Cricetulus griseus: one gene and its partners. The protein of the gene in region 2 purifies or fractionates together with the protein of the main gene of each other region. This does not show direct contact. Links are inferred from orthologs where the notes say so. Each region holds a gene or a part of one and is shown on either strand. Other genes may lie near its edges.

Region 1 (3,749 bases), on a different chromosome or scaffold from region 2:
ATATCTCAGTATAGTAATCTAAGATGATCCAGATGAAGAAACTGACATTTTAAAAGTGTTTGTTGAGTCTACAGCAATGGTTCTCAATCTGTGGGTCATGACCCCTTTGGAGGGACATCTAATAGACCCTTTCACAGGTGTCACCTAAGACCATTGGAAAATACAAATATTTATATTACGATTCATAACTAGCAAAATTACAGTTATGAAGTAAAAATGAAAGTAATTTTATGTTTGGGGTCATCACAGCACAAGGAACTGTGTTAAAGGGTTACAGCATTAGGAAGGTTGAGAACCACAGTTCTAGAGAAGCTACAGGGCTATGCAGTATTAATTGGCACCCCTAAATCTAGGGGGGGTTAACAAGAGCTGTGGGCAGGTAGAACAGGTTGTGGGGAGGGCACGGCCTCTGATTTGAGCCCTGTAGGAAGTGGAGGTTGCCCGGTATTAACACCTTAGTGAGTCCAAATAACATCTCTATTTAACCCCTCCTGCCCCCACTCAGATCTCGATGGCCAAACCCAACCAGGACACAGAGGCCAGGAAGGTAAAGAAAACTAGTGGAATGAAAGCTAAGAGTCTGGAGGTCTGAGCTACTTGTGGAGTGAGAATGTCCCATTCACCTCCAAGACCATGGAGCCGAATTCTTTATCTTTGTACAGCTGCTTGGCACAGGCCAGGATGGTGGATGTCTTTCCTGTCCCTGGAGGGCCATAGAGAAGTAGGTGTGGCAGGCGGTCCTCACTGATGAACTTCTGAACTAAGGCGGGAGTAAGGAGACAATGTCAGCCTTGAACTCACAGAGATCCAACTGCCTCTGCCTCCCGAGTGCTGGGATTAAAGGTGTGCTCCACCAATGCCCGCCTGTGGTTGCTGCTCTTACAGGTTCCTAGCACCTACACACCTACACTGTAGCTTACAATTGCCTACAATGCCACTTCTAGAGGACCCAATACCCTCTTCTGGCCTCTAGAGGCACCAGGCACACATGATACACAGACATGTATGTGTAAACAAAACACCTAAACAAAAAATAGAATAAAAATAATTATCTTTAAAAATTTGTCCTCGGAGGTATTTTAGTGCAGTTATGGAAAAGGAACCAATACACTCCATCCTACAAAGTCCAGTCCTTCCTTTACACTGTCTCCTAGCAGAGACAGCATCAACACCAAATGTATCCAAGCCCTCCCACAAGGACAACAACCGACAGGGATACTCACTGGTACTCAGAATGTCCTGGTGAGAAATGAGATCGGCCAGGGTCTGTGGTCGGTACTTTTCAACCCTGAAATGGGATTCAACACAAATTACAGCAGCATATACAGATGCAAGCCATGTTCTGCCGCATGCAAAGAAACGCCTTCACATCCCAAGCAGGAGAGGAAGAGAAACCCTTCCCATCTCAATACAGCCAGTGACTCTCACAACCAGTGGTGGGTTCTGTCCCCCGGGAGACATCTGCCAGGCCATTAGCTGTAATAAGTGGGCAGAGGGCGTTAGTGGCATCTGGTGAGTAGAAGTCAGGAGTGGCTGAACATCCTACATTGGGCTCCACCCCCACAGTGGGCCCCAAGTCAACAGCACTGAGCTTCAACTTGGATAGGCATGTGACTTTGAAAAGAACTCATACTCAAATATCCACAAGTAAGTTATGATTTAGCCAGGCCATGCTACAGCATGGAGCAACCTTGAGTTGGAGAAGCCAGACTCAAAAGGTCACAGTCTGTGACTCCATTCCTGTGACTTTAATGTGTGGCCCACGACAATTCTTCCTCCTCGGACACAGACCAGAAAAGTAGTAAGAATGGCCAGACAGCTGCTGTAGGACCGTTCAGAATGCAAGTCCTGGGGCCCGATATGGCTCAGCAAGCAAAGGTACTTGACGCTAAGTCTGAGAACCTGGGATCGATCCCGGGGATCCAAGTTGCTGGGAGGGAAGAACCCGGTCCTGTAAGTTGTCCTCTGACCTCCACACGAGTGCGCTGCTACACTCCCCTCCCCCACAAATAAAAGGTAATATGAAAGGAAAAAAGAAAGCAAGCGCTGAATTCGGATACCTGAGGTCGGTCGAATGCAAGCCTACGCACTACCCCCAGTTTCTGAGCTTTTCTAAAGAAAGTCAGGATCGATCTCTTAGGGTCATCAAAGGGCATTGGCGATGCTCTAGGCATCAGAGGATGGCTAAGCTGCGCTCAGGCCTCGGTAGCATGACTGTTGGGTATGGGAGCGGGGGAGCGGGCGGCTGCAGGCAAGGCTGAGGCGCCAAGGCCGGGTGTCTGCAGTGCCCACGCGGGCCGCAGGCCGGGAGCGGGAAGGGGGTCGTAAAGCTTCTAGAAAGAAGGGCGGAAAGCAGGATGCGGGGCCGCTCCTACCAGGGCAAGTTCCGGGCCCGGGCCGCCGCGGGCCGCTGCTCCGGAGGCACCGCCGCCATGACTGACAGATGCTGCGGGCCCGGGGCACCGACCTGCCTTACTCAGAGTCCGCGCGCAAACCAATCCTCGCGAGGCTTCGCCTCCCGCTTCCGGCTTCCTGCCTCCGGCCGGCCTCTTCCCTGTTGCTAGGGCTCTAGTTGCTAGGTAACCCGAGGCGCCGGCCGGCTGCCCTGCCACAGCTGGCTGTTCCAGCCGGAGCGGGCTGTCTGAGCCACGCAGGAGGTCCAGGGAGACCGCGCGCCGCGCCGCAGCCGGTGCCACCGCGGGCCTCACCAGGACCACATCCTGCCAGCGCAAGGGCAAGCCACAATGGAGCAGCAGGTTCCACAGCCAGAAACACTTCCGCGGGTGTGGGTACAGGCAGTGCGCCCTGGGTTCCATAACCAGCAGCACACAAACACGCGTGCGCACAAATACACACACGAAAACACAGTTACATATACAAGCATACATCCATGCAAACATATGCACAACAGTCACATACATATACTCTCACATACACATAAACACATTTGCACGCACATACACATACACATATAGACATATACACGAAAATACAATCACATATACAAACATACATACACAGATGCATATATATATCCCCACATTCATATACATGTACACTTATGCACACACATAAACACGTGCAGTCACACATACAGAAGCACACACTCAGACATATATACACACAAATACACACAGCTACATATATACACACAAACATGAATACATATAACACATTCACATACATGTACACTCACATACACACACTCACACATAAACATACACATGAAGACATCTGTGTGTTTGTATATATACATATGTATATATACATATACATTTATTTTCCCCTACATCAAGAGGATTTCAGACCAATTTTATTTTCAACTTTAAAATTTATTCAGCACCAGACATGGTTGTGCACACCTTTAATCTCAGCACTTGGGAGGAAAGGAAGGTGGATCTCTGAATTCAAGGTCTACAGATTGAGTTCCAGGGCAGCCAGAGCTACATAGTGAGACCCTGTCTTGAAAAACAAATTCATTTTAATTAATTAATTAGTGTGTTTGTGCTACTTGGCCAAAGGTACCTCTCTTCACTGAGCCAACTCAACAGCCCAACTTTCACCTCTTTTGCTGCTCTGTCTTTTCTATAAGGAGTGTGTATAACATCCACAATAAAGCCTTTATTATCATTATTATCATTATCATTATTATTATTATTATTTGCTTGCTTTTATTTTAAGGCAGGGTCTCACTTTGTAGCCTCAACTGACCTGGAGTTTGTTAGTATTCAGGCATCTGTACTGTTCTG
Region 2 (3,749 bases):
TTTATTTTTCATCTATTATTAATGTGTTTTTAATTATTTAAATTCATTTTATATGCATTGGTGTGAAGGTGTCAGATCCCCTGGAACTGGAGTTACAGACAGTTGTGAGCTGCCATGTGGGTGCTGAGAATTGAACCCAGGTTTTCTGGAAAAGCAGCCAGTGTTAACTGCTAAGCCACCTCTCCAGCCCCTTCGTGTGTTTGAGAGTGCTGGCACTTGCTTGCCACAGAGCAATTGTGGAAGTCAGAAATCAGCCCTTTCCTTGTTCCACCATGGCCTCTGGGGGTAGAATTCTTTCCTTTTGTGGGGGCTGTTTTTAGAGACAGGGTTTCTCTGTGTATCCTTGGCTGTCCTGGAATTCACCGTGTAGACCAGGCTGGCCTCGAATTCACAGAGATCCTCCTGCCTCTGCCTCCCTGGCCTAACTGTGACACATATTTAAATGAACTTTTTGTTTTTGTTTTTGTTTTTGTTTTTTTGACAGAGTCTTGCTATGTATCTCAGGTTGGCCTCTCAAGTTCCCAGTCTCCCTAGTGGTAAGAATTAATTTGAGCCATCATCATACCTGGCTTAATACCTATTAATCCTAGGCTGTGTCTGAGGTACACAGATAGAAAAACAAAACAGAAGCAATCACTGCCCACATGCAGCTGCCACACTATCAGAGAACACAAATACTAAACACATAGGAAAACTGATAAGCACCATGGCTACAAAGGGAACCATTGCTGCTGAGCCCAGGAAGAGAAGCCAGCGTGAAAGAGGCAGAAGGCCACAGCCTCAGAAGCAGCTCAAGTGGCCATCAAAGGGCCTGACAGGACTTTGGAGATAGGTGATCACAGGGGGAGACATGGATGGGGTCTGGATCCTGCAAGTTCAAGATCTAGAGACTGGACTCTGGCCAGGAGAGTTAAAGCAGTGGAGGCAGATCACTGGGAACTGTGTGTTTGACCAGGTGAAGGAAAGGCAGCAGAGATGAAGAGGGTGGGAGGGGGGACGGGATGCTGCCATCTGTTCTGGAGATGAAGCAGTCAGGAATTACTGAAGAACTGAGCAAGTGGGGAGAGGAGGACTCTAACAGCTAATTCCTAGTCTAATGAGCTGAAGGCTTCTACATTTACACTGGTTGCCTTGGATGTGGAAAGGGAAAGCAACTTCCTCCTAGGAGGGAGGGAGAGGAGCCCAGAAAAACAAAGAGGGCCTGGGTAATAAACAGAGCCCCTCCATTACCCACAGTACCACAGGGGTAATGCAAGGGGCTCCAGGCAGCCCCTTCCACGCTTGAGGGAACTAACCCAGGGCAAGTGAATGCCTTCCAGCTGATAACCCTCATCCTTTCACACTGTCTAGGGTAAATGGTAAAGTGCACACATATCATGTGTAGTGCTTAAACCTTCCCAGAGCTTCCTTCCCAGTTACTGCTTCAGCCCCAAACCCCCTGCAAGGCTCAGGACACCCCACCTACCCATATGCCCCTACTCATAGAGTGCCTCACTCCACTGCACCTCCTGTCAGGTCCATCCTACCCTTTTCTGCCCCAGAACCTGATCTTTCCATGCATTTACGTAGATCAGTGAAACCAGAATGAACAGCCCCTTCCTTCGCCTGGCTCTTGAAGCAAGTTAACTTTTGTGGGGAGCTGGTGGTTGCAGCCACGACAGATTGCTCAACCCAGATTGAGCGCGGCCTGTCTTGCTTTGACCCTGTAGCCCCTTTTAAGTTAAGGAACCGGGAGGGTCTACTCCTCCCAAGTTTGGACTCTGATCCAAGGCTTGATCCTTGGTGCAGCAGGCACCTTGCTCCTCGGAGCTTCGTCCCGTGTGCCCAGCGGAGCCCAGTGGAATTGCAGGGCTTTGCAAGGAGTGGAAGGTTAGGGTTGGGAAGGGAAACCTAGACCTGATGAATGAGTCAGGAGCTGACTCTGGAGTCACGTGACAAAGGCCACGCCCCGGGAACTGACTGAATCATGTGACACCCGGGCCAAGGAACGTTTTTCTCACGTGACGGAGGTGCCTTGGGTGGACCAATAAGGATGCCGAGGCTGGGCTGGGGTGTGTGTGTAGGGGACGGCGCGCGGGAAGGGAACTGAAGTCATCCGTAGTGGCCGCTGGGACTCGGTGTGGGTCGTGTCCTGTCCCGGTATGGTTGCAAATTAGGGTCGAGTTCAGTGCTGGTGAGCCATGAAGTGCCTGATCACCGGCGGCAACGTGAAGGGTGAGTTTGGATATACCCGGCGGCGGGGCACGTGAGCAAGCCGGAAGAATCTCCCTAATCTTTTTCTGATCTCCTCGAAGTGCTGGGCAAGGCTGTCCATTCGCTATCCCGAATCGGGGACGAGCTCTATCTGGAACCCTTGAAGGACGGGGTAAGAGGCTCGAACTCAGGGGTGAGGGCGATTCAATGGGGAGTGGGAAGCCTAGACTTGGCGCTGGCTCTCGGCCTTGCATAATGAGGGTGGGCAGGTATTTTGGCGGAGTTGTTTCCTCTTGGGTTTTGAGGGCATCAGTTTGGGCCTTGTCTTCCGAGGCTGCATGTGTGTACAGAGGGAACGTGCCCTCCCTAAAGTGACAGGCAGGGTGGTGCTGAAGTAATTTAGGGGGACAGCAAGCATGGCAGATCCTGGGCCGCAGACACTGGAAAGTTCACATGCAGGAGGTCGTGCTACACAGAAGAGAGAAAGGGAGTTTCAGTAAGCAATGGAAGAGGACGGCCTCAGGATGAAAGAGCAGGCCATTAGGCTGGGGTGGGCCTGCTGTTGCCCCTAACTCCTATCTTACTTGTTTTTTTGTATCTTAGCTCTCTCTAAGGACTGTGAACTCTTCCCGTTCTGCCTATGCCTGCTTCCTCTTTGTCCCGCTCTTCTTCCAGCAGTACCAGGCGGCTTCCCCTGGTCAGGACCTGCTGCGCTGTAAGATCTTGATGAAGGTGAGGACCATCTGAAGCATCTCCACAGCTGTGCCTCTGTGCCAGGGTACTCAGTAAATAATTACTAGGGAGTTAGCCTCATATGGGAGCAATTCCATGCAAAATGCAGTGATGTAAAGATGTCTGCAATTTAGAGGTTTGTAAGATCTGTGGAGAGGGTGGTGACATGCAAGTTAGTCAAGAAAAGGTTAGCAGCCCTTCCTGCAAAGGGAAAAGCATGGACAAGGCCTGGAAGTGTACAGACATCCTGCATGTAGTGGGAGCCCCATGTAAAGCTTTGCTGGGCCAGTGATGGACCAGGACCTACATGGAATGTAGAGCTGGTCCATGGAGGCACAGTGCCAGGCTGATGTCCTACCTTGCCCAGTCCTTCCTGTCCGTCTTCCGCTCTCTGGCGATGGTGGAGAAGACTGTGGAAAAGTGCTGCATCTCCCTCAGTAGCAGCAACAGCCACCTTGTGGTCCAGCTCCACTGCAAGTATGGTGAGCACACAGCTGGCCAGCCAAGAGTTCCCTCCATGGGTGTGGGGGAGTGAAATGAAAGTTGTCAAGCCCACTGAGACCCTTTTTCCTTATCCAGGGGTCAAGAAAACACACAACCTCTCCTTCCAAGACTGTGAATCCCTGCAGGCTGTCTTCAACCCAGCCTTGTGCCCCCACTTGCTCCGAGCACCAGCACGGTCAGTACACCCTCCTTCAAGCTTAGCCTGAGTCTCTTCCATCTTTGGGGCTTTTGAGTGTCATACTGGGAATGCACCATTTTCAACAGGCATGGTTTTATGTCTGTCATCCCATCTGTTCTTAGATGGAGTCGAGAGGACCAGG
Region 3 (3,749 bases), about 200 Mb from region 2:
TCTGGCATGGGCTTTTCAACCCTCAAAGTCTGCCAGCAACAACACACCTCCTAATCCCCCCAAACAGCTCATCAACTAAAACTAAGAACACATATACACGAGCCCATGGGAGCCATTCCCATTCAAACCATAAACTCTTCATGGCCTCCATTTGTCCATGGGTAGCCTCAGGATTTCCTCTAACATGCTCATCTTTCTGATGGTCAAACTATTGAGGGTCAAATATTTCAGATGTTCATGCATCACAGACACAAGGGAATGTATGCTTCTGTACTTACTTATGTTCTAGCCATTAAAAGGCAGGGACCCAGCAACCACCATATACAGGATGACTCCAAGACTTGCTGTATCTACCACGGGGCCCCTGTACTTTTTTTCCCATTAGAAGGGGACCACAGCATATGGTACCTAGCTTGCTTCTAGAACTGAACACATTACAGACGCCAAAGTCCATGAGATGGATGTTAAGGTCAGCATCTACTATAGCTTGGATGTAAAATGTTCCACAAAAGTCGATGTGTTAAATGCTTGATGTCCAGGGTGGTGCTACTAGGAAGTGAAGTAGACCTTTAGAAGGTGGGGCCTAGCCCTCAGGCCACTGGGGCATGCATTCAAAAGGACCATGGGATCCTCGCCTTTGTTCTATTTCTTTCTGCTCCCTAGAACATGAGAGAATTGGTGCTGCTCCTCCATGCATGCCTGCCATGATGTGCTGCCTGGCCTCAAAACTTCAAGAATACAAACCAAAATAACCCTTTTCTCTTTGTAATTGGCTCAGGTATTATTGTAGTGACAGAAAGCTGACCTACACAGATGAAAGGGCAGGTTGTTGGTATGGGAAGGATTTTGAAATGGGATGAAAGTTTAGGATGGGATGGAACAAAACGATGACACAGAATGGGATGATACAGAATGTTGGGATAGAATGGGAAGTAGGGATGGAATGGAATGTTAAGATAGGATAGGATACAATAACGGAATGAGAAGCAAAGGGATGAGCGACAACACTGGAATTAAATGGGGTGATAAGATGAGATGGAATGGAACAGGATGGGGCACTGATCTCTTATTATATCAGGTACTATTGCAATTAGAGCCTTTGACATGTAATTGTAGTTGTAAGCTGCTAATTCTCACATCTTTGTCATACCTAACCATGATTGTAATGTTTGTTTGTTTTTTTCTCCAAAATGTTGCACATAGTATGACAGTTAACCCAGTGCTAAGCAACCATGGAGAAGCAACCGCTATGCTGACAGAAGTGAACTTCTGTATCTACCTATTTGTCTCTGTATGTGTACAGCAGCAGTCTGCCATGCGGTAAGTACAAGAAGGAGATATGTTAGGGAATTTCATATTAATTTTTTTTTTATCTAAAGCTTTTCCTTACTGGAGGAACACACGGGAGTGATATCCAAGTTTTTTGTGCTCCAGAACAGAAACTGAAAAGTATTTTTATAATATTTATATTATTAAACTTTAAGAATAACCTTTACAATATACTCAAACTTTAGTATATAAGGGCAACCTAAAACTTAAAGGTATTTTAATGGAATGTGTGTGTACTGAATTAAAGTTAAAAACCAGAAATATATATTACGTCTTAAAATTCATATTTACCAAAGAAAGATTAACAGAAAGAAGTATCATGCAACTGTATGCTTTTTTTTTGAACTGTATGTATTTTTATTGGTAAGTTTCTTTTTAAAGCACAAGTCTCTGACCAATGTAGCAAGCAAGCTCTAAACTGCAGCAGTATATTTTAATATTTTCAGCTATTTGGAAATTAAAGATGAAATATGGTGGTTTGAATGAGAATGGCCTCTATAGACTCATATATTTGAATGCCTGGTCCCCAAGTGGTGGAACTGTTTGGGAAGGATTGGAACGTGTGGCCTTGTTGGTGTCACTGAGGGGCAGGCTTTGAGGTTTCAAAAGCCCACAACCATTCCCAGTTATTGTGCAATTTCCCTCCCTCCCCACTTTTCTCCCTCCCCCATCCCTGCCCCCTCCCTCTCTCTGCCTCATTGCCGCATGCCTATCTGCTTGCTCACATGCTCCCTGTCATGATGGCCATGACTCACCCTCTACATTGTAAACAACAATAAACTCTATCTTCTAGAAGTTGTCTTGGTAATGTCTCTCAACAACTGAAAAGCAAATAAGACATAAGTGCTGGAAGATGGCTCAACTGAGCATAAGGACCTCATCCAGATCCCCAACCCTTGTAAAAAGCAGGCATGATGGTATGTACTTGTAATGCCAGTCTGGAGGTAGACGCTGTCTCAAAAAGTAAAGGTGAAGACCAAAGATGTGTGGTGTCAACCCTAGACATCTATACACACATACACATGCATTCACATATATACATATGAGACAAAAAATATAAAATGAAATTCTTTTACTACTTAGAAGTAGAAAAGATTTCTGAGACCTACAAAACCCTTAGGATGAGGAGGGACAGAAACTTTCTAATAGTTTTTGAAACTGTTTGCAAATATATACCATGATATAGCATGAAACTATTTGCAAATACATACCATGATAGAGGCCGATAATAATGAGAGCTTTTGAAAATGTGTTTGCAAAATATAGCAAGGTTTCACTTACTAGAGGTCACAAATAATGAGATATTATGCATAAAGGAAATTTCTAAGAGGCTTTAAACTTTAAAAATGCATCTATAATTTTCAAGTTATTTTGCCTAAGATATTTCTACACTGCATTTGCCTTTCCTATTCAATAAATTCCAGGCTAGAAATGTGGCTCAGTGGTAGAGCATTAGCCTACCATAGACAAAGTTCTGGTTTTAATCTCCAGCAAAGCAAAAACTAAAAAATCATCACAAAATACCATTATTTATTTATTTATTTATTTATTTATTTATTTATTTTTAGTTACCATGAACATTAATAACTGTTCTGGGCGTGTTCCTAGATTTCTGCTTCAGACTGCAGTGTTTAACAAGCTTGTTTTATTTTTATAGTCTTGCTTGATGTCAGACTCTTACTGATTATTAAAACCAGGGTACCAGCCAGCCTCTGCCAAGTCTCTCAACTTCTGCAGTGTTCCTGCCTGATGGCCACTCTTCCCGGCTCTCCTGCTCCAGGATGGGAGCTCTGATGATGTTCATGATGTTCAAACGCCACTCAGGCCTCTCTCAAGTCAGGAAGAGCCAGAGTATCTTGTTCTTCTCGTCCCAGACTAGAGTTCTCCACTGCAGCAATAATCCAAGTTTGGACAGGACTAAACGTTGTAGTAAAGGTTGTTCTGTGTATGGCAAGACATTCAATAGCATAGCTAGTCTCCATACACGATGCCAGTAGCTCAGCTGCATGAACTGTGGAGAATTAAGCTGAACACAGAAGCAAGCAGCATGCTCACATCCATTTCTCTCTGATTTTAGCTAGTGGTGTGATGAGACTAAATGCTTCAGGTCCCTGCTGCCTTGACTTCTCCACAACAATGGACCTAAAAGGAATGGTGAACTAAAATAAGCCTTTTTCTTCTACGTTGCTTTCTATCAGGGTATTTTATCACAGCAACAAAAAAAATGGCACTAAGACACAGCTGAAGACCAAGCACTCACACACAAACCTGTAGGTAAAACTTGAGATTCACAACACATTACTGTCCCTGAAATTCACATGGTAACATCATGACCTTTCTGAAATCATGCCTTATGTTTCCTTTGGTCACAGAAGAAACCTAACTCCTGCATCCCACATGCCCAGACTCTAAACTCCATC

What was found.
Region 1: the proteins of Rad9a (region 2) and Rfc5 purify together in Homo sapiens (affinity purification with mass spectrometry; 3 studies listed by BioGRID and IntAct, with this or other methods). This does not show direct contact. The link is inferred for Cricetulus griseus from reciprocal best matches to the Homo sapiens genes RAD9A and RFC5.
Region 3: the proteins of Rad9a (region 2) and Hus1b purify together in Homo sapiens (co-immunoprecipitation; 3 studies listed by BioGRID and IntAct, counting the BioPlex papers as one, with this or other methods). This does not show direct contact. The link is inferred for Cricetulus griseus from reciprocal best matches to the Homo sapiens genes RAD9A and HUS1B.

What each region holds. Positions count from the first base shown.
Region 1 is NC_048597.1:97,330,550-97,334,298, forward strand, and holds the start of Rfc5 (replication factor C subunit 5), read right to left. Parts: upstream 2,528-3,749; 5' UTR 2,435-2,527; coding exon 2,376-2,434; intron 1,289-2,375; coding exon 1,224-1,288; intron 761-1,223; coding exon 624-760; intron 144-623; exon of another isoform or gene 1-143. UniProt on the Homo sapiens protein: Subunit of the replication factor C (RFC) complex which acts during elongation of primed DNA templates by DNA polymerases delta and epsilon, and is necessary for ATP-dependent loading of proliferating cell nuclear antigen (PCNA) onto primed DNA.
Region 2 is NC_048596.1:55,048,960-55,052,708, forward strand, and holds the start of Rad9a (cell cycle checkpoint control protein RAD9A), read left to right. Parts: upstream 1-1,025; 5' UTR 1,026-2,180; coding exon 2,181-2,214; intron 2,215-2,294; coding exon 2,295-2,365; intron 2,366-2,795; exon of another isoform or gene 2,796-2,796; coding exon 2,797-2,925; intron 2,926-3,243; exon of another isoform or gene 3,244-3,274; coding exon of another isoform or gene 3,275-3,292; coding exon 3,293-3,407; intron 3,408-3,504; coding exon 3,505-3,604; intron 3,605-3,749. UniProt on the Homo sapiens protein: Component of the 9-1-1 cell-cycle checkpoint response complex that plays a major role in DNA repair. The 9-1-1 complex is recruited to DNA lesion upon damage by the RAD17-replication factor C (RFC) clamp loader complex.
Region 3 is NC_048596.1:251,682,169-251,685,917, forward strand, and holds the start of Hus1b (checkpoint protein HUS1B), read right to left. Parts: upstream 2,895-3,749; 5' UTR 1-2,894.